4 linked regions of the Saccharomyces cerevisiae S288C genome follow. The protein of the gene in region 2 binds, or shares a complex with, the protein of the main gene of each other region. Each region holds a gene or a part of one and is shown on either strand. Other genes may lie near its edges. The genes, in order: EMC4, EMC10, EMC2 and EMC6.

Evidence for each region.
Region 1: EMC10 (region 2) and EMC4 share a complex: the UniProt entries of both Saccharomyces cerevisiae proteins name them as parts of the ER membrane protein complex.
Region 3: EMC10 (region 2) and EMC2 share a complex: the UniProt entries of both Saccharomyces cerevisiae proteins name them as parts of the ER membrane protein complex.
Region 4: EMC10 (region 2) and EMC6 share a complex: the UniProt entries of both Saccharomyces cerevisiae proteins name them as parts of the ER membrane protein complex.

The regions. Positions count from the first base shown.
Region 1 is NC_001139.9:62,356-67,930, forward strand, and holds EMC4 (chaperone EMC4), read right to left. Parts: upstream 1,266-5,575; coding exon 693-1,265; downstream 1-692. Other genes in the region: TAN1 (putative tRNA acetyltransferase), read left to right, coding at 1-647; YGL230C (uncharacterized protein), read right to left, coding at 1,417-1,860; SAP4 (Sap4p), read right to left, coding at 2,148-4,604; SHE10 (She10p), read left to right, coding at 5,243-5,575. UniProt on the Saccharomyces cerevisiae protein: Part of the endoplasmic reticulum membrane protein complex (EMC) that enables the energy-independent insertion into endoplasmic reticulum membranes of newly synthesized membrane proteins.
Region 2 is NC_001136.10:562,927-567,318, forward strand, and holds EMC10 (Emc10p), read right to left. Parts: upstream 2,715-4,392; coding exon 2,097-2,714; downstream 1-2,096. Other genes in the region: PST1 (Pst1p), read left to right, coding at 601-1,935; YOS9 (Yos9p), read left to right, coding at 3,001-4,392. UniProt on the Saccharomyces cerevisiae protein: Part of the endoplasmic reticulum membrane protein complex (EMC) that enables the energy-independent insertion into endoplasmic reticulum membranes of newly synthesized membrane proteins.
Region 3 is NC_001142.9:583,008-588,926, forward strand, and holds EMC2 (Emc2p), read right to left. Parts: upstream 4,367-5,919; coding exon 3,488-4,366; downstream 1-3,487. Other genes in the region: ACF4 (Acf4p), read right to left, coding at 1-530; YJR084W (uncharacterized protein), read left to right, coding at 726-1,997; TMH11 (Tmh11p), read right to left, coding at 2,113-2,430; STE18 (Ste18p), read left to right, coding at 3,061-3,393; BIR1 (survivin), read left to right, coding at 4,711-5,919. UniProt on the Saccharomyces cerevisiae protein: Part of the endoplasmic reticulum membrane protein complex (EMC) that enables the energy-independent insertion into endoplasmic reticulum membranes of newly synthesized membrane proteins.
Region 4 is NC_001144.5:119,696-125,135, reverse strand, and holds EMC6 (Emc6p), read right to left. Parts: upstream 3,815-5,440; coding exon 3,488-3,814; downstream 1-3,487. Other genes in the region: mRNA-binding protein PUF3, read left to right, coding at 422-3,061; ATP-binding cassette bilirubin transporter BPT1, read right to left, coding at 4,025-5,440. UniProt on the Saccharomyces cerevisiae protein: Part of the endoplasmic reticulum membrane protein complex (EMC) that enables the energy-independent insertion into endoplasmic reticulum membranes of newly synthesized membrane proteins.

The sequences.
Region 1 (5,575 bases), on a different chromosome or scaffold from region 2:
ACGAAAAGAAAGATCTATCAATTGAAGACCAGATAAAAAAGGAATTACAAGAATTGAAAGGTGAAGAAACAGGCAAAGATTTATCTTCAGGGGAGACAAAGAAGAAAGACCCCTTAGCCTTCATCGACTTGAACTGTGAGTGCGTGACATTTTGTAAAACAAGAAAGCCAATTGTTCCCGAAGAATTTGTGCTAAGTATCATGAAAGACTTAGCGGATCCCAAAAATATGGTTAAACGTACTAGATATGTTCAGAAATTAACACCTATTACGTACTCTTGTAATGCAAAAATGGAGCAATTAATCAAGTTGGCCAATTTGGTTATTGGGCCACACTTTCATGACCCTTCGAATGTTAAAAAAAATTATAAATTTGCTGTAGAAGTGACAAGAAGAAATTTCAATACGATTGAAAGAATGGACATCATTAATCAAGTTGTGAAGCTGGTCAATAAAGAGGGTTCTGAGTTTAATCATACTGTGGACTTGAAGAACTATGATAAATTGATTCTAGTGGAATGTTTTAAGAGCAATATCGGAATGTGTGTAGTCGATGGGGATTATAAAACCAAATATCGTAAATACAACGTTCAACAGCTTTATGAATCGAAATTCCGAAAGGATGAAGATAAGAGTGTAAAACAATAATCATATATGAAACAGAATAGATATTTTATATAAGTATATACGCTCTCAATCGGAAAACCATTGTAATCCATTATTATAATGAGCAATTCGTTCCCAGGGTAGCCAATCACCCTTAGCGTTAGGAATGAGACCCATTGAATTTAGTTTCCTGTATCCAATGTACATTAAGACGCCTTGGAATACGATATACATGAACATAGCAGTTTGCACTTGACTTTGTGTTGCTTTATTACCCAACACTGGTTTGAATGCACTCCTTGTTGAAAATATTGCTTTAATGGGTCCAGAGAGTAGCATGAGGGCAGTCATTATAGGAATGATTTGTAAGGATGTACCGGACATATACGACATAAAAATATTCATCGGAATAGATTTGGCTGGTTGTAACGCAATTTGCCATGCCTTCTGTACTTGTAATACTGTTATTTGGTTTTTTTGTGCCAAAGAAGTAGTTTGAGATGTAGCATCTTGTTGTTTTCTTGTAACATTTCCTTTAGAGGAATTACCTTCAAATCCTGGTGGTGAAGGTAATGTGTTTGAGTTCTGAATGTTGTATTTTTCGATATACTTGGTGTCCAATAGGTGTTTAGCCCATTCGTAAGGCTCCTGTTCACTCATTTCTGTTGCTTATATCGTTTGGCTTTATTTTAACCTTAACTGATATTATGTTCAACTTTTTTTCATTCTATTTATATAGAAAAGAATACGCTTTTTTTATTATTTATGAAAGGAACATGAAAAAACTACGAATGTACAAAAGCAGAGATTGCTAGAGAATACATTGGTCAAGAATTTTCGCATATGGAACGCATTGCTCTTTTAGATGGGCTGTTAAATAATCGTAATTTAGGTTAGTTATTGCCCTTTGCGTCTTCCGTGGAACAATGTTGGTCCAATAAATTATAAAGAAAAGAAATTGGATAGCACAAATAAAAGAGCAAGCGATAATGCAAAACATTAAAAGTCTGTTTTCCATTAGTTTGTAATATTCTGAGGTCATCAATAAAAACCATTTTTTCGTTCTTGTAAAATTGTATCTCTCATCTGTATTGGATTTTTCGACCATTTGAAAATCATCCTTGCTTTTTCCTTTATATTCAGTCGAGGAATCATTTGCTGTATTAGGCTCTGGTTGAGAAACCTCTTCAAGGCCCTTTTTTGGGTAGGCTTTCAATAAATGTAGAACATTGCCGGATAGTGTAATAATTCCCATTATTATGGTTTTGTTTTGCCTGGTTTGGGCCTGACTTTAGTTATATGATTATTTTTGTATAGATAGCTATAAGTTATTGAAAGTAAGCTAGACAATAATTTTTGGTGAATAGTTGGTGAACATTCCTGAACTACAAAGGACTATTGTTATATTTAGTTTACTTCAATTGGCCCCCAATAGGCTTCGTAATTTTTACATGTCACAAAATTAAATAAGGCAAAACGAGAAACAAAATATTAAAAATGTAGGAAAAAAAAAGTCAAAATTGGTTTGACGACTTAACCTAATCAATTTAAGTCGGAATGATGATCAACAATAACATCTTTAATTTTATCATGAATATCTAATTCGGTTAATTGACCCAATTCATCTATGAGCTCGGCAACTTTATCATGCAACTTAACATCCTCCTCGTGAACAATTTCATTCTCATCCATTGTGGATGGATGAGCTGGTTTACTCATATCAGCTTTTTCCAAAAAGTCCTGGTTAGTATTTTCATCGCTTTCGGCACAGAACTGGCCTCCACCAAGAATTATTGAACACATTGTCCTTGTTTCGTTCAAGATGTCACTAGAATATGACATCCAAACTTCATCTTGTAAGAAGGCATATATATCTGGAGCAATTAGATCGGTCTTATAAATTTTGGAATACTTCGCAATTTCTTCGGCAATTAATACTAATTGACCCATATAACCTAAATTTGTTTTCTCTTTTTCGTAAAATTCAAACGAATCCTTGTGGCCTTGTAAAATGAAATCAGAGATAATATGGAAGTCTTTAACAGGTAACTTTTGGTTGCTGCCGTACAAAGGTTTTGGGATAAATCTTGTAGACTTTTTGAAATCAAACAAAGAATAGACCAAAAATGAGTTATAAGAAAAATCCATTCGACCATTGAATATCTGCTGAATAATATCAAATACAATGTTGTGCCAAAAGTTATTCCAAGGATATCTTAAGAATAATTGTAGAAACTTTGGAAAAAACCCAAGGTCATGAAGTTTAATTTTGAATAAATCTCCAATGGTAGGGTTTTTACGTATTTTCAAATTTTGCGTTTCACTGACGTAAGGAATTTCAAAACTCATATCATCATCATCATCAATATTGTCATCAGATGTATCAAAAGTAGAATACAATTCATTATCATGAAACTTTTTTTTAATATTTTTTTTTTGTTTTTGGTTGTCATTACTGTCATTACTATCATTATTATTACATTTATCTTCTAATGTATTGGAAGTAATAGTATTATCATTTATATTTAAATTTTTCATGGCTTTCTCTAGTGAGTTTTGATCAAGAGTGTCCCTGCATTTATCTCTGGTACGTGCTATTTTTTCGCCTCTTTTTGAATTCATCAATCCCATATTTGAACAGTGTAACATTTCCGATATCAATTCTGTAATCTTGACTCTTTCAAAGCCCAAAGGCCTGAATGATTCATGCAATTGGTTTTCTAGTAGGTGATGCTTAACAGATGGAAGAGCTTTTGAAGCAGTGTCATGATCATCGTCATCATCATTTTCAAGTTTAATTAGTAATGCATAAAAATCTTCCATATGCATAGTGAGCTCATATAACAAATGGCCCAAATAGACTGGATCTCTTTGAGAAGGCGGATTGTCTACTATGGTGGTACTTAACAAATCTACTTCGTCATAGTCGGAATTATTCTTCCTGATCAACTCAATTATAATAGATACGGCAACTCCCATTGCATGGCCTCTTTGAAATAAGATTATATTAATAAGTTGGTCGACATATTGCGGAGAGGCAAGCTGTCTTGTCAATCGGTTAGGTCCGATCCACAAAGTATCCAGTTTAAAATTGGTGGAAATGCTGATCAGTGCTTTTAGAAGCTCTCCGCTACTGTTTTGAATACCAGGTGAGTATTTGCTATTTTCCAAGAGATTCAAACACTTAGGTATCAGATCCTGGTGATACAAGAAGTCAATAATGTTCGTAGGTGATTCAACTTGATCAGTCAGCATGATTTTAATGAGAAATTCAACCAAGGGTGAGACTTCAATATGATATAAGAACTTGTCCACAATGTTCGGTTGCGATTTGAAAAATTCCAAATAGCTAGATGTCTGTTCAAACAGAAGAGTTTCGTTAATCTTAAGGAAAACAGCCAAGATAGGACAATTTTCTGCCTCAATATTTTCAAACTGGAAAACCTCGAACAGAGAGGACAAAAATGGGGTATTTTGCACGAGTGCCTCCACTATGGGCGCACTTTTCGAACAAAAAATACTGGAAATAATGTTGACATACAGCATTGGGTCTTCATCGTCCTGATCTTCATATTCACCTGTTTGATGGAATGAATTCTCTAAAAGAAATGGGGTTCTATAACCAGTGCGGTCTATGTCCTTCAGGTAAGCCATCAACATGTCCACTAGGTAGTCCATGTGGCGGACCTGCTGGGAACGGTCGTCATAGAAATATCCCAAGCAAATGAAGTCGACGAGTCTGTCGTTGGCTGCTCCATTCAGTTCATCCAGCAAAGCTGTTTCCAACAAGATCCTATCAATAAATGACTGGTTAAGGTCACTCCTATCCCGAGACTCGGTACCAAATTCGGACTCTGACTCCATAGAAGGCTCATTCTTCTTGTCGTCAGTTGAAGAGGTCTCATTTCCCTCCAAACTACGAAAAATTAGATAGTACTCTTCAAGTATCGAATCAATTCCGGAATGACTCAGCGTCTCTCCAAAGGGCCATAGTGACATATTTTTATTTTATTTTAGCTTTATCGAAAAGCAAGAGAGCAGTAAACTGGACGGTATAGAAGAAAAGAGAACTTAATAACAAAAGACCAGATTGTCTATAACTTTATCTCACACCAAATACCAGGTTGTCCTTTTCCCGCTGGGTGAAGCAACCGTTTCACTTATTCGCACAATCCAATTAGTAGAACACAACACAACACAACACAACACAACACAGCACAACACGCTTACCAAATTATATTTACTACGGCAACCAAAAACCGACAGAATAAAAAACAGCCATCATACGTGGATGAACTCTTGGTTTATTGTCTGTTATTATCCTCGAGAGTTCTTATTTAGGGGATTTAGGGCTGGCATCAATACCCTAACTAAACCCTGAACTGCCCAAGGAACAATTTTCAAAAGTAAGAAATGTCCTATACGTTTCTATGTATAACCCTAAGATAGTCAGGTTTCGGAAATAAGGCGGATTTCTACGTACATGATGATAATCATGTATCAAAGAAAGGATCAACTTGAAGAACAGCCTTAAAGTAAGCGTAATGGGCATTCTGTTTCAACCACCATTTCTGAAGTACTTTATATCTTGGATGCACAAAAGCTGTTACATCTAAACAAGAACGCAGCGTAACGAAATGGGAAAGCTGATAAAGTTAATCACAACTCTGACGGTGTTGGTATCGTTGCTTCAGTACTGTTGCGAATTCAATAGTGGGAGCATATCGTGTGAACGCACGCAAACGCTTTGCCATTATACCAATCCAAGAGTCTGGAACACCTACTTTTCAAGAAATTGTGAATTATACAAAAATAAAGTTAGTCCCGGTTTCGATATAGTGGCGCGTAAATATGACACGGCTGTCAAACCTGTCATCGATGACGCTACAGTAAAAGTGAACAAGGTCGCTATACAGCCTGCATTCAAGGTCATCCATTCACAATGTAAGAAATGGAACTGTGGAAAGTAT
Region 2 (4,392 bases):
ATAGAGTGAGCGGATTTCTATTATCTGAAAACCGGGTTATAATGCACGTGATATGCACGTGGGAGCTGGGCGGCTATTTTTTTCTTTTTCAAATGTATTTGAGTCGTTTAAAATAGCACTCCCCGTTGACCCGCCAACTCATTTTTGTTTTCTCTTTACGGAAAAGGCTTTAAATTAAGGCCCGCATTTTCGGTATCCTTGAGGGAAAAAAACCAAAGAAACCCAAAAAAGACCACAAAGCTGGGATATCTTAATTAGTAGAGAGGGCTTTTAGTTTTAATAGTGTTACGAGTCTCTAAAAATAGCGTAGGCACACTGCCCTGATTCGGACTTTGATCAGAGTTTATTACTACAAAGAGTAATGTTGAATGATTGGGCTGGGTTTTCATAGCATTAACTCTAAGTAATATCATTCAACCGCTCAAGGTTCCTTACGAGCAAACCCATATATGCTCTACAGATAAACATATAAATAGCGTGCATATTCTTCTCTATTCAACTCTTGCTCTGTATAGTTCAATAGAATCTTACAGTACATCACGCTGCAATAGATCTAATCCAAGAGAGAAGCAAAAAAAAAAAGCTCGCTATAAAAATATCATGCAATTACATTCACTTATCGCTTCAACTGCGCTCTTAATAACGTCAGCTTTGGCTGCTACTTCCTCTTCTTCCAGCATACCCTCTTCCTGTACCATAAGCTCACATGCCACGGCCACAGCTCAGAGTGACTTAGATAAATATAGCCGCTGTGATACGTTAGTCGGGAACTTAACTATTGGTGGTGGTTTGAAGACTGGTGCTTTGGCTAATGTTAAAGAAATCAACGGGTCTCTAACTATATTTAACGCTACAAATCTAACCTCATTCGCTGCTGATTCCTTGGAGTCCATCACAGATTCTTTGAACCTACAGAGTTTGACAATCTTGACTTCTGCTTCATTTGGGTCTTTACAGAGCGTTGATAGTATAAAACTGATTACTCTACCCGCCATCTCCAGTTTTACTTCAAATATCAAATCTGCTAACAACATTTATATTTCCGACACTTCGTTACAATCTGTCGATGGATTCTCAGCCTTGAAAAAAGTTAACGTGTTCAACGTCAATAACAATAAGAAATTAACCTCGATCAAATCTCCAGTTGAAACAGTCAGCGATTCTTTACAATTTTCGTTCAACGGTAACCAGACTAAAATCACCTTCGATGACTTGGTTTGGGCAAACAATATCAGTTTGACCGATGTCCACTCTGTTTCCTTCGCTAACTTGCAAAAGATTAACTCTTCATTGGGTTTCATCAACAACTCCATCTCAAGTTTGAATTTCACTAAGCTAAACACCATTGGCCAAACCTTCAGTATCGTTTCCAATGACTACTTGAAGAACTTGTCGTTCTCTAATTTGTCAACCATAGGTGGTGCTCTTGTCGTTGCTAACAACACTGGTTTACAAAAAATTGGTGGTCTCGACAACCTAACAACCATTGGCGGTACTTTGGAAGTTGTTGGTAACTTCACCTCCTTGAACCTAGACTCTTTGAAGTCTGTCAAGGGTGGCGCAGATGTCGAATCAAAGTCAAGCAATTTCTCCTGTAATGCTTTGAAAGCTTTGCAAAAGAAAGGGGGTATCAAGGGTGAATCTTTTGTCTGCAAAAATGGTGCATCATCCACATCTGTTAAACTATCGTCCACTTCCAAATCTCAATCAAGCCAAACTACTGCCAAGGTTTCCAAGTCATCTTCTAAGGCCGAGGAAAAGAAGTTCACTTCTGGCGATATCAAGGCTGCTGCTTCTGCCTCTAGTGTTTCTAGTTCTGGCGCTTCCAGCTCTAGCTCTAAGAGTTCCAAAGGCAATGCCGCTATCATGGCACCAATTGGCCAAACAACCCCTTTGGTCGGTCTTTTGACGGCAATCATCATGTCTATAATGTAATGGAATGAAGAAATATTCTTCATTTTTGATAACTAGTACCTGTCATTCACGACATGTGAACAAATAAAAACATTTATTTAAAAATTTTATGTATTCAAATATTTTCGGGAAAGAGATAAAAGTAACGACACTTAAAAATTTAAAAAATCACAATACTTTATTTACTCAGTCTTTTGATCAGCTCCGGCACCTCCTTGTTGTTGCTTCTTTGCTGAGCCCGCAACAAAATTGTAAATCAATAGGCCTAAAAGTAACATTTTCCAGTTCTTTTGAAACCAAGACACCTCCTTAACCTCTTCATCTTCTTCGAATTGTGCAGTGCTTCCATCCTTATTCTTACTAGCTTTTTTATCAGCATAAGTTTTGGTTTTCTTCTTTAATTTGGTGACTGGTGCAGTAGGTCCCGCTTCTGGATATCTGACTGTAGCAGTAATAGCATCGTTAGTCTCGTCATATGATAACGACACTTGTTTGACCTCATTATCTTCATCTACATCCACAATTAAATCGTATTTTAGTGGTGTCCTCAGCTTCATGTAGCTAAAACATGGCATATCCAGCTTACCTTCAATCTGGGCATTCAAACAGTATTCTCCAGAAACTTCAACATCCTGTATATTAACGGTTGTTACTGTAACATTCCCATCGGATGTACTATCAATCTCAAATGTTCCTAGGGGTATAGCGTCTTTCGCATCATCTGAATAGCTTAATTGTAAAATATCAGCACAGAAAACCATGCTGGCCAATAAAATCACACGCAACAGCCGCACAAGCATCTTTCCTTCAATGAGTATTGTACAGTTCTTGTTAGATAGTGTTGAATAGTACCACCTTGTTTTTTTACTCAAAGTGTCTTTTATATACTTCTAATTATTCCTATATTTGGTTGGGTTTTTAAGTTACCAATGCAAATACAGTGGTTAGAGACCCAGCGCACGTATGCAAAAAAATACAGCGGAAATTTCAAGTAAAAATGTAGCTTCATAAAAAAGAAGCAGATTCCCTAAAATAAGCAATAGATCTTCACATATATCGTTATCATCCCCTTTCTTCCCTGTTTCAATGCAAGCTAAAATTATATATGCTCTGAGCGCAATTTCTGCGTTGATTCCGTTAGGATCATCACTATTAGCACCTATAGAAGACCCCATAGTATCGAATAAGTACCTCATATCTTACATCGATGAGGACGACTGGAGTGATAGGATATTACAAAATCAGTCTGTCATGAACTCGGGATATATAGTGAATATGGGCGACGACCTTGAATGCTTTATTCAAAATGCAAGCACTCAATTGAATGATGTATTGGAAGACTCAAATGAGCATAGCAATAGTGAAAAGACAGCATTATTAACTAAAACCCTGAATCAAGGTGTTAAGACAATTTTCGATAAATTAAATGAACGGTGCATCTTCTACCAAGCCGGATTTTGGATTTACGAGTACTGTCCTGGCATAGAATTTGTTCAGTTCCATGGTAGAGTAAATACAAAAACTGGTGAAATAGTAAATCGAGATGAATCTTTGGTCTACCGCCTGGGAAAACCAAAAGCAAATGTAGAAGAGAGAGAATTTGAACTACTTTATGACGATGTAGGATATTACATCAGCGAAATTATAGGGTCAGGTGATATTTGCGATGTGACGGGGGCTGAAAGAATGGTTGAAATACAATATGTCTGTGGCGGCTCAAACTCTGGACCATCGACTATTCAATGGGTGAGAGAAACAAAAATTTGTGTTTATGAAGCCCAAGTTACCATACCTGAATTGTGCAATTTAGAATTACTAGCCAAAAATGAAGACCAAAAGAACGCCTCACCTATACTTTGCAGGATGCCCGCAAAATCAAAAATTGGTAGTAACTCTATTGATTTAATCACCAAATATGAACCGATTTTTTTAGGTTCTGGAATATACTTTCTAAGGCCCTTTAACACCGACGAAAGAGACAAATTAATGGTTACTGACAATGCCATGTCAAATTGGGATGAGATTACGGAAACATATTACCAGAAATTTGGAAATGCCATAAACAAAATGCTTAGTTTGAGATTAGTATCGTTACCTAATGGACATATTCTCCAGCCTGGTGACTCATGTGTTTGGTTGGCGGAAGTGGTTGATATGAAAGATCGGTTTCAAACCACTTTATCGTTGAACATACTTAATTCACAGAGAGCAGAGATATTTTTCAACAAGACGTTTACATTTAATGAAGATAATGGAAACTTCCTATCATACAAAATTGGGGATCATGGCGAGTCAACTGAACTTGGTCAAATAACCCACTCAAACAAAGCAGATATAAATACCGCAGAAATTCGGTCAGATGAATACTTAATTAACACTGATAATGAGCTATTCTTGAGGATTTCTAAGGAGATAGCAGAAGTGAAAGAATTATTAAACGAAATCGTAAGTCCACATGAAATGGAAGTAATATTTGAA
Region 3 (5,919 bases), on a different chromosome or scaffold from region 2:
ACATTATTATTGGGCTTACTAAAAAAATCGTTTATACTCTTTTTTCCCTTGAGCATATTTGGTGAATTATTTACGTCCACAAATGTCTGTTGAATTCTTTTGGTAAAAGTAGAGAGGTATTCACTTGGGTTCTGGTTACCTAATTTCTGTTGTCCATTTCGGGGCAGTGTATCTTTGAACTGTAACTCTAATTGTTTTAATTCTTTTTGGGCGACCTCTAATTTGAAACTAAGTTCATTGATTTCTCTGTGTTTTGCAGCTAATTTATATATTAAATCTTGGTCTGTTGAAATCGGACTTGCGTGGTCGCTCACGGGTGACTGATTTGTCGTAGATCTTTGCGGACTTGATATAGGTATAGCAAGTCTTTTGGGCTTTAAAGGTGTCGTAACCCTTGGTGATTTTGATTCAGGCTGCACTTCATGTTGTTTTTGATGCGGCTGTTGCTGCTGTCCTTGGGAGTGTTTATCGACAATCGACAGCTTATGTAATTCAATTGGTTGACTAATTACACGCTGGTCTTCTGACATTACTTTAGGGCGTATGTATGGATGTATTTTGTATTGCTTTTGGCTAGTTAGTAGTATTCCTCAATCGTATTGTTTTTGATTTTGAAAAAGCTAACGATAAAGGTCAGGAAAAAAAAAGAAAATTGTATGTAAAGGAATGTCTGGAGAGAGTTACACAGGAACAGAAAGGTCCAGCAACGGTTTCTACAACCAATCATGGATGTTGATATAGGATGTTATTTTGAAGAGAAACGCTATGACGACAAACTGTTAGACTTCATCAGATATGACGTTAAAACACCTAAAAAGACTAAATATATACTACAAAGGCCTACGGCGACAGATGAAGAGAGTGTACGATTACAAAGGTTTTACCAATTAGGAGTAGATCTAAAATTGAAGTATTCCAAGCGGAGGTCATTGAAGAAGCAAGGGCGGATCAAGAATGCTACTGAGGAATTGCTGCGATTAGCCAATGAACAGTTGAAACTTTTCAACAGAATAGTAGAAAGAGAAACCAATTGGATAATTTATCCGCTGTGGGTAATGGCTAAACAATTAATTCGTCTGGCAAACGAATCTAGTGAACTTAATAAAGACTCAATTGAGGAATGTGGACGCACTATCCATAGAAGCTTTACTATATGCCTCAATGATAGGAACCCAAGATTGAATGAAAATAAAAAAATCGGGTGTTATATGTTTGCTAATCTAGAGTTTTCCATCTACCATCGGTTAAGTAATAAAGATATGATTAAAAATTTAGTGAAAGTCCTCGAGAGCAGAGTGAACGCCCGGGATATACCACCGTTGAATAAAAGCCTGGCAATGGAACATAAGTCTCAAGTGGTGTTGTATAATTATTATCTAGGTCAATACTACGGATGTCTGGAAAACGATCACGAACGCGGGTTCTTCCATTTAAATGAAGCATTATTGCAATGTCCAATGCTATATGTGGAATCTACCGGCAAGTTCGTCTTACAGGGCCAAATGGAAAAGATAATGATACTGCTGGTTCCGCTTGCTCTTTTAACTAAAAGGTTGTACCCTCACTGGGATCATCCAGTAATCGCCGGAGTAATTACTAGGAGTAAGCGCTTAAGTCAAGTTTATCCGACATTAGTGCGTAGCGTAATCTCAGGGAACCTGTCACTGTACGAGGCTACCGCAGCAAGCCATGAAAGATTTTTCCTTTCGCAAGGATTGCATGTCGTCATCACATTACTTCGAGAGGTGGTCTTCACTCGGTTGGTACAACGATGTTGGCAATGGGGGAATGATCGGAAAAGTATCATGCCCTTGAAAATTCTTCTGGCAACAAAACAACACGATAGTTCTGCCAATGAGGACGAAGAGGAGCAGTTGGATGCCCTAGAATGCCGTCTAGCAAGTGCTATAGCAAGTGGGCTTTTGCGTGCTTATCTTTCTCACTCCAACCGCTGCATCGTTTTCAGTAAGAAGGAGCCCTTTCCCCATAGCAAATGATAGAAAAATAGTCAATAATTGAACGAAGAAAAAAAAAAGAAAGTTTGTTCATAAAAGAATATCATATTATATATATATATAGGGTCGTATATATATCGTGCGTCTTCTTCCTTCTCTAAGGGTAAAATTCCTTGTATTTGTTATAATAGTAGTAACTGCCGAGCCCACCCAAAGCTGTCAAAACGACAGGGACAGGTTTAGTGAACCTGGAAGGCATGCCTCTTATGACACCAGCACCAAGTAGTAAGGTCGATGCACCCAATGCCATTTCGAGCCCACCATCTCTATTCATATGTAGCAAGTAACCGGCAATCCCATATACACTACCGAATACTAAGCCAGATACTAGAGATGGAATGGAGCCCTTACGGTAGTATCCCATAAGGCCACCGGCTGTAGTCAAAAGACTCAATGTATATGCTGGATGTTCCATAGTGTGATCTGATGTTCCTTTCTCTCAAACTTCGTTTCTGTCTTGTCTCCCGCTGTTACCTAATAACTTCATGTGATCTGCTCCCCCTTCTCGTTAAATACCACCTTTTCATCAACCCCGTAGGGCGCGACACGTCTAAAATATTAACCTCTGAATACTTATTGGGTCAAAATGAATGTTGATAACTTTCCTTTACAAAAAAAAAACTAATAGAGTATATGCATTTCGGTAGTGAAATATTCGTTAATGCTAATATGCTCAGTAGTGATCCTAGATTACCAGTTTTACTGCAGCCATCGTACAATTTTGGAACGAGTATAAAGAGAGAAATTAAAAACGACAAGAAATATTCGTACTAGCTTCTCTTCCGGCTTGATGACAGTCTTAATATCATCTGCAACTCTTGAAATCTTGCTTTATAGTCAAAATTTACGTACGCTTTTCACTATATAATATGATTTGTCAATGTGATGAGTGAATGTCTCCCTGTTACCCGGTTTTCATGTTGATTTTTGTTTCAGGCTCTAAATGTTTGATGCAATATTTAACAAGGAGAACAGAAATGTTTTGTGACAGCACCTGTCAATTTTAGGATAGTAGCAATCGCAAACGTTCTCAATAATTCTAAGAATGACATCAGTTCAAAACTCTCCACGCTTACAACAACCTCAGGAACAGCAACAGCAACAGCAACAGCTTTCCTTAAAGATAAAACAATTGAAGTTAAAAAGAATCAACGAACTTAACAATAAACTGAGGAAAGAACTCAGCCGTGAAAGAATTACTGCTTCAAATGCATGTCTTACAATAATAAACTATACCTCGAATACAAAAGATTATACATTACCAGAACTATGGGGCTACCCCGTAGCAGGATCAAATCATTTTATAGAGGGTTTGAAAAATGCTCAAAAAAATAGCCAAATGTCAAACTCAAATAGTGTTTGTTGTACGCTTATGTAATGATAGTAATAGAATCCAAAAAAAAAAAAAATATACATGCTTTTTCATATCCTCTCTCACCCTATCTTTTTTTTTCTTCTAATTTTGGCTCCGTTCATATCTTATTCAAAATTAATTCAGCGGTAATCTTATCTTTATTGTTAGACTTCGCAGAAATTTCCTTTAGCTTCGATGCAGATAGTTTGATCAAGTCATTTTGTTTATTACGTCCCAGTTCGCGAGAAATGATGTTAACCAATGCCCACCCTTTTAGGTATAGTTCGCTAAGTTCAACGCTCCTCAAAGCATTCTTTAATGCCTTTTCCAAGAGCTCGGTCTTGGTTTGTTTCTTGCTACGTAGAGCCTCATAATACAGAGTCTCACTTAGCCTACCAAAACAAGCGTAATTGAATGGTGTAATACATAGGACCTGTTCCAAACAATAACAGGCTTTTTCAAATTGGCCCATTTCGAAATAAATCTCGCTGGCATACCACCACAATTCTGCATCAAGCGGGAATTTATCTGTAAGAGCTACCACTTCTTTAAGAACACTTTCTTGGCTCAAGTTCTTGGAAGTTGTCTTGATAGCTATCAATTTCTTTGCAATAGAGACATAAGTAACGAAGTCCGTTTCATACTCCAGATCATCATTCAACAAATTTTCCAGATATTCAATAGCGCCTTTATCATTTCCGTTTATCTGCAATAAAGTGGCTTTCATGATTACCATTTTATACGAATTTTCACCAAGACGATCTCTTAATGTATTATAAACAACTTGCGCATCAACGTCTTGGTTTCGGTACACCAAAACATAGAAAAGCATTTCCATCAAGAAGAAATAGTTTCCTTCTGTTAGTGCAGAGTCTCCGCTTTTCATGTAAATTTTCATTTCATTTTCTAGTTGCAGTAATTGTTCTGGATTAAATTGAGTATACGCTTTGGTATTCATAATTGTCAAAAGCTTTTCTCTAACCAAATCCTTCAACATTGTTTTATCTACTGCTTTCTATAATTTTCTCCGTTCCAATGCGATCCAATGCCTTTCATTCATACATAGTTATTTATTTCATTAACGATCCAAATCTCTTTACTTAACTTCACTAGTCAACGCTTCTAACACATCACGCGATACGAAGATTAACAGTTTAGTATAATATTGCAATACATACCCATTTCACACATCGGTCAAGGTCATCAAGCACTTTTAGTTATAGTGTGTCCTATAGTTCTTTCAGATTGATTGAGGTTTCATATTAGTGTTGAAAGCCTAGCTAAAGTTCTCTGGGCGTGCAACATTCGAGGACACATCGGTTGTTTATACCTCATGGGATTATGGATGGTCAAATAGATAAAATGGAGAAGCGATATAGCATGACCAAACTGGAGAATAGGTTAAGGACTTTCCAAGATGGTGTTGCACTTGAAAAAAAAAAGTTAAAGTGGAGTTTTAAAGTTATTCCGTATCAGGCAATGGCCAAGCTTGGATTTTACTTTGATCCAGTGATCGATCCTAAGACATCTAAACTGAAAAAAGACTCTGTAAGATGTTGCTATTGTCATCGTCAAACATACAATGTGAGAGACTGCAGATCCAAAAGAAAAGATGTTCTTGAGACTCTAAGCAATATAATGAGGCAACATCTGACTGTTACTGATAACAAACAAGTTTGCCTCCTTATTTACTTGCGCAATAAGCTATTGACGGACTATAGCTTCCATATGGGGGTTTCGGACTGGAAAAATGACAAGTACTTCAGCAATCCAGATGATGAAAACGTGATAAACCTAAGAAAATTTACTTTTCAAGATAACTGGCCTCACAGTGGTTCTCAAAATGAACATCCGCTGGGTATAGAAAAGATGGTGAATGCAGGACTCATGCGATACGACTCCAGCATAGAAGGCTTAGGCGATCCAAGCATGGATAAAACACTTATGAACGATACCTGTTATTGTATTTATTGCAAACAGTTGTTACAAGGTTGGTCAATAAATGACGATCCGATGAGCCGACATTATAAGGTTTCTCAAAATGGGAACTGTTATTTCTTTCAGACACGTAATCGATTTGAGAGAATAAAAAATGACAATGACAGTATCACGAAAAATTGCGAAGTCTCTCCAACTTTAGGCGAAAATGGGAAAAGAGAAGTGATCAACACGAAAACCGCTTCTCAAAGGCAGTGTCCTTTATTTGAGTCACCTCCATCTAGTACTGGTCCTCAACTTGACGATTATAATGAGAAGACAGATATATCTGTTATTCAACATAATATAAGTGTGCTTGATGGAGCACAAGGCGAAAATGTAAAACGTAATAGTGTGGAAGAAAAAGAACAAATCAACATGGAAAATGGAAGCACTACATTAGAAGAGGGCAATATAAATCGTGATGTTTTAGCAGATAAGAAAGAAGTTATTTCGACACCAACTGCAAAAGAAATCAAACGTCCAAATGTCCAGCTAACCCAATCATCGTCACCTATAAAAAAGAAAAGAAAGTTTAAGAGAATATCGCCTAGAAAAATCTTTGATGAGGAA
Region 4 (5,440 bases), on a different chromosome or scaffold from region 2:
TAATTGCGCACTCTGTTACCCTGAACTGCATTTCTTTTTTCCTTCTAAAAATTGTGGAGAGAGGAAGATAATTTCCCAAATGTACCATTAGCACACTTGAGAATGTATATTGGATGTATGAAGCTTGATGAATAGGAGAAAAAAAAAAACAAAGAAAAGAAGGAAAAAGAAAAATAAGTGGTGCCTGCACATATTTGAATATCTACTGTAAATAGTATAACACTGCTTAGCTAATTTTTTTCTGGTCATCTGGTCTCTAAAGAGAAACATAAGAAAAAGATAGGAACATTGAAAGGCGGTGAAAAGGAAACTTCCTTGCTACTGATATATCTATAAGCATAGAAGTACGCAAGCAAACAAGAAAACAAACAAGAACTACGCATTTAAATTTCTTCTGAATAACGCAATATTGCGGGTATAAATGGAAATGAACATGGATATGGATATGGATATGGAACTCGCATCCATAGTTTCTTCTTTAAGCGCCCTGTCCCATAGTAACAACAACGGCGGTCAGGCCGCCGCGGCCGGCATTGTGAACGGCGGTGCTGCTGGATCACAGCAAATTGGCGGCTTCAGAAGGTCGAGTTTCACCACGGCAAATGAAGTAGATTCAGAGATCTTGCTGCTTCACGGTTCCAGTGAATCTTCACCGATCTTCAAGAAAACCGCCCTATCAGTTGGTACTGCTCCGCCATTCTCCACGAACTCGAAAAAGTTTTTTGGTAACGGCGGCAATTATTACCAGTACAGATCAACCGACACTGCCTCCCTGTCATCCGCATCGTACAATAACTATCATACTCATCATACTGCGGCTAATCTCGGGAAAAACAACAAGGTCAACCATCTTCTGGGCCAGTATTCAGCTTCCATTGCTGGTCCCGTTTACTACAATGGCAATGACAACAACAACTCTGGTGGGGAAGGGTTTTTTGAGAAGTTCGGAAAATCTTTGATTGACGGTACAAGGGAACTGGAATCTCAAGATAGACCCGACGCTGTCAATACTCAGTCCCAATTCATATCAAAAAGCGTCTCTAACGCCAGCTTAGACACACAGAATACTTTCGAGCAAAATGTCGAGTCTGACAAAAACTTCAACAAATTGAATAGGAACACTACTAACAGTGGTTCGCTTTACCACTCCAGTTCAAATTCAGGCTCATCTGCGTCTTTAGAGTCCGAAAATGCTCATTACCCCAAGAGAAATATCTGGAACGTAGCCAACACACCAGTATTTAGACCTAGTAACAATCCAGCCGCTGTTGGGGCCACAAATGTCGCGCTTCCTAACCAACAAGATGGGCCTGCAAATAACAATTTCCCCCCCTACATGAACGGCTTCCCACCCAATCAGTTTCATCAGGGCCCTCATTACCAAAACTTCCCCAACTACTTGATCGGATCTCCTTCAAATTTCATCTCCCAGATGATTTCAGTACAGATTCCAGCAAATGAAGACACCGAAGACTCAAATGGTAAGAAAAAGAAGAAGGCAAACAGACCTTCTTCTGTTTCTTCACCTTCGTCCCCTCCAAACAATTCTCCGTTCCCGTTTGCCTACCCCAACCCAATGATGTTTATGCCACCTCCACCACTCTCTGCTCCCCAGCAACAACAGCAACAGCAACAACAACAACAACAAGAAGACCAACAACAGCAACAGCAACAGGAGAATCCTTATATTTACTACCCTACTCCAAATCCTATACCTGTCAAAATGCCCAAGGACGAAAAAACCTTCAAGAAAAGAAATAACAAGAATCATCCTGCAAATAACTCCAACAACGCCAACAAACAGGCAAATCCTTATCTAGAAAATTCTATACCCACAAAGAATACCTCTAAAAAGAATGCTTCTTCCAAATCTAATGAGTCAACGGCCAACAACCATAAATCTCACTCTCATTCTCATCCTCATTCTCAAAGTCTACAGCAACAGCAGCAAACGTATCATCGATCGCCGTTGTTAGAGCAACTAAGAAACAGTAGTTCTGACAAAAATTCAAACTCGAACATGTCACTAAAAGACATCTTTGGCCATTCCTTAGAGTTTTGCAAAGATCAACATGGTTCACGGTTCATTCAGCGCGAGTTGGCCACCTCACCAGCCTCAGAAAAGGAGGTCATATTCAATGAAATTCGCGATGACGCCATTGAGCTTTCGAACGATGTATTTGGTAATTACGTCATTCAGAAGTTTTTTGAATTTGGTAGCAAAATTCAAAAAAATACTTTGGTTGATCAATTTAAAGGTAACATGAAACAGTTATCTCTACAAATGTACGCATGTCGTGTAATTCAAAAGGCGTTAGAATATATTGATTCCAATCAAAGAATTGAGTTAGTCCTGGAATTATCTGACTCCGTTTTGCAAATGATCAAAGATCAGAACGGTAATCACGTAATTCAAAAGGCCATCGAAACAATTCCTATCGAAAAATTACCTTTTATCTTAAGTTCTTTAACTGGCCACATTTACCATCTATCTACCCACTCCTACGGCTGTAGGGTCATTCAAAGATTGTTAGAATTTGGTTCGAGCGAAGATCAGGAAAGCATTTTAAACGAATTGAAAGATTTCATACCATATCTAATTCAAGACCAATATGGTAACTATGTCATTCAATATGTTTTGCAACAAGATCAGTTCACCAATAAGGAAATGGTCGATATCAAACAGGAAATCATAGAAACTGTGGCCAATAATGTTGTCGAATACTCTAAACATAAATTTGCCTCCAACGTGGTCGAAAAATCTATTCTTTATGGCTCTAAAAATCAGAAGGATTTAATAATTTCTAAGATTTTACCAAGAGACAAAAATCATGCTTTGAATCTGGAAGACGATTCTCCAATGATTTTAATGATCAAGGATCAATTTGCCAACTATGTGATTCAAAAATTAGTTAATGTCTCTGAGGGTGAGGGTAAGAAATTGATCGTCATTGCCATTAGAGCATATTTGGATAAACTAAACAAATCTAACTCCCTAGGAAATAGACATTTAGCCAGTGTTGAGAAACTTGCAGCATTGGTTGAAAATGCGGAGGTGTGATTAGTGTTATCATCGTTCTCCTTTCACTTTTTACTATTTTTTTTTTTTTTTTTTTTTTTTTTTTTTCCTCCATTTGTCTTTCACTTACTCTATTTTATTTTGTTTTATTTTGATATCTACTCTTGTCCATAACATTTATGTTCCCCTATATTCATTATTTGCTTTTTTCCATTACCTACTTTTTGTACCTCATCTCTATTTTTCTGCAAAAATCTTTGCGCTCTTACGCTCTTCTTATTTCTGCAACAGATAGAGAATTTAACATTGTGTATTTGAAATCATTTGACTGAGAATACTGTTGTCATGTCTTTTTACATAGAAGGAACTAAAAAAATTTAAAAAAAAAAAACACAAATAACATTATATTTACTGTACATAATAAATCAAGCCTGTTTCTAACCGTTTATAGAAGTAGTTCTTATATGTTCATCCGATTAGGGCGTATCCAAATGTCCATGCCATGACAAAACCAGTTATCTCTCTAAAAAACGATTCGAAAAAAATGTCATGAAGTGGGCTTTGGTAGAACTTTCCTGGTTGAAGTTGACAGATCCAAACAATGTAAATGACATTAATCAAGTTGTACAGAATCAGGAACCAAATAAACCCATGGACTGACTCGATTTGCAAAAATCCTGCAACAAGCCCTAGAACAAGTGCTGAGCTATCTTGCACGAAAAGTAAACGCTTCTTATTATCAACCACATTCGCAGTTGCGTTTATCTGAGTAAATACCTCTTCATTTGAGCTCATTTCTATCTGTCTGCCGCTGTCTTTCTCGAACACTGCTTGAGCAATCCAACATAAGGTTAAAATTAAGTTGTATTTAGTTATATCTCTACTAGCTTCATTTGTGATTACCCGGGTTACTAGAAAGCATATAGAAAGAAAAAGAATTGGCGTGACCGTACATATTGCAGCGCATTAAATGTTCTATATCTTCATATATAATAATCAATGTCATTATTTCAAATACCCACCTTTCTCACAAAGACTGTAAAAAATAGACGTTTTATCGGATAACAATTTCGAGGGTGAATCGAATTCCCTCACACTACCCTGGTCAAGAACAATTATCTTATCACTGTCCAATACAGTGTCGATACGATGTGCAATTGTTAAGATGGTACGGTCCTTAAATTCTCTTCTTATAGTGTCTTGGATAATTTTATCGGTTTCCATATCCACAGAAGCCGTTGCTTCATCAAGGACCAATATTTTGGAACGGTTTAGCAGCGCTCTTGCCAAACATAGTAGTTGTCTTTGCCCCACTGACAAGTTACTACCGTTCTCATTAATCTTGACATCCAGAATATCATTAACATTGCCATCCTCTTCATTAGAATCATCACCTCTTGGTTTACTGTGCAGCATTTTTTCCAGATGAGGCTTTAAATGTGCCTGCTCAACAGCCCTTTTAAGTTCATCTTCTGAATAACGATTGAAAGGGTCCAAATTGGTCTTTACTGTACCTTCAAAAGCTTGTGCATCCTGAGGAATAATTGCCAAATGGCTTCTTAAATCGAACAGACCTATGTCGGATATATCAATGCCGTCAATAATAATTTTACCTTCGGTAGGTTCTAGTATTCTAAATAATGCCAGGCTCAGTGTAGACTTCCCTGCACCTGTTCTGCCAACAATCCCAACCTTTTCACATGGCTCAATCTTCACGTTAATATTATTCAGCACTGGATCCAAATTTTCTCTGTATTTTGTGGAATAGTTTTTGAATTCAATACCACCCTTTGATGGCCAATTTTCATCTGGCCTCTTTTCAGGGTTAATGGACTGTGCTTCAGGTGGTAATTCGCAGTACTCAACAATTCTCTCCACTGATACAATGTTGGTTTCAATCGTCACAGTTGTCCTTACAATCCAAGTCAATGAACCTGTAACCTCTAATGAATAGCTCATTAGTAGACCAACCATACCCGAACTTAGTTGCCTTTTAGTATTCATTGTTGCTAGTGCTAAGATTGCAGTAGCCAAAACAATTGTAGCACCAATAGTTTGCAATCTCACGGATAACCATCTATTCGTTGATCTAAAGTTGAAGACAAAATCAACGTTGTATTGGATTTTTTCATAATTTAGATAGATGAATCTCTCAAAATGATCGTATGCATCAATAATAGAATAACCGTTCAAGCTCTCACTCATTAAGGACATAATCGGAGAGTAAGATATACTGATCAATCTTTTTAGCTCCCTAGATAGCACAATGTAAAATGTTTGATAGTAAATATAGATAACCACCAAAAACATATTGAACACTAAAAACCATGGCATATTGTACCCGACTAATATAACAGTAACCAAATAGGTTAGTATTGATTTGAAAAAAAAGGAGAAAATGTACTGTAGATTACTGTCCAC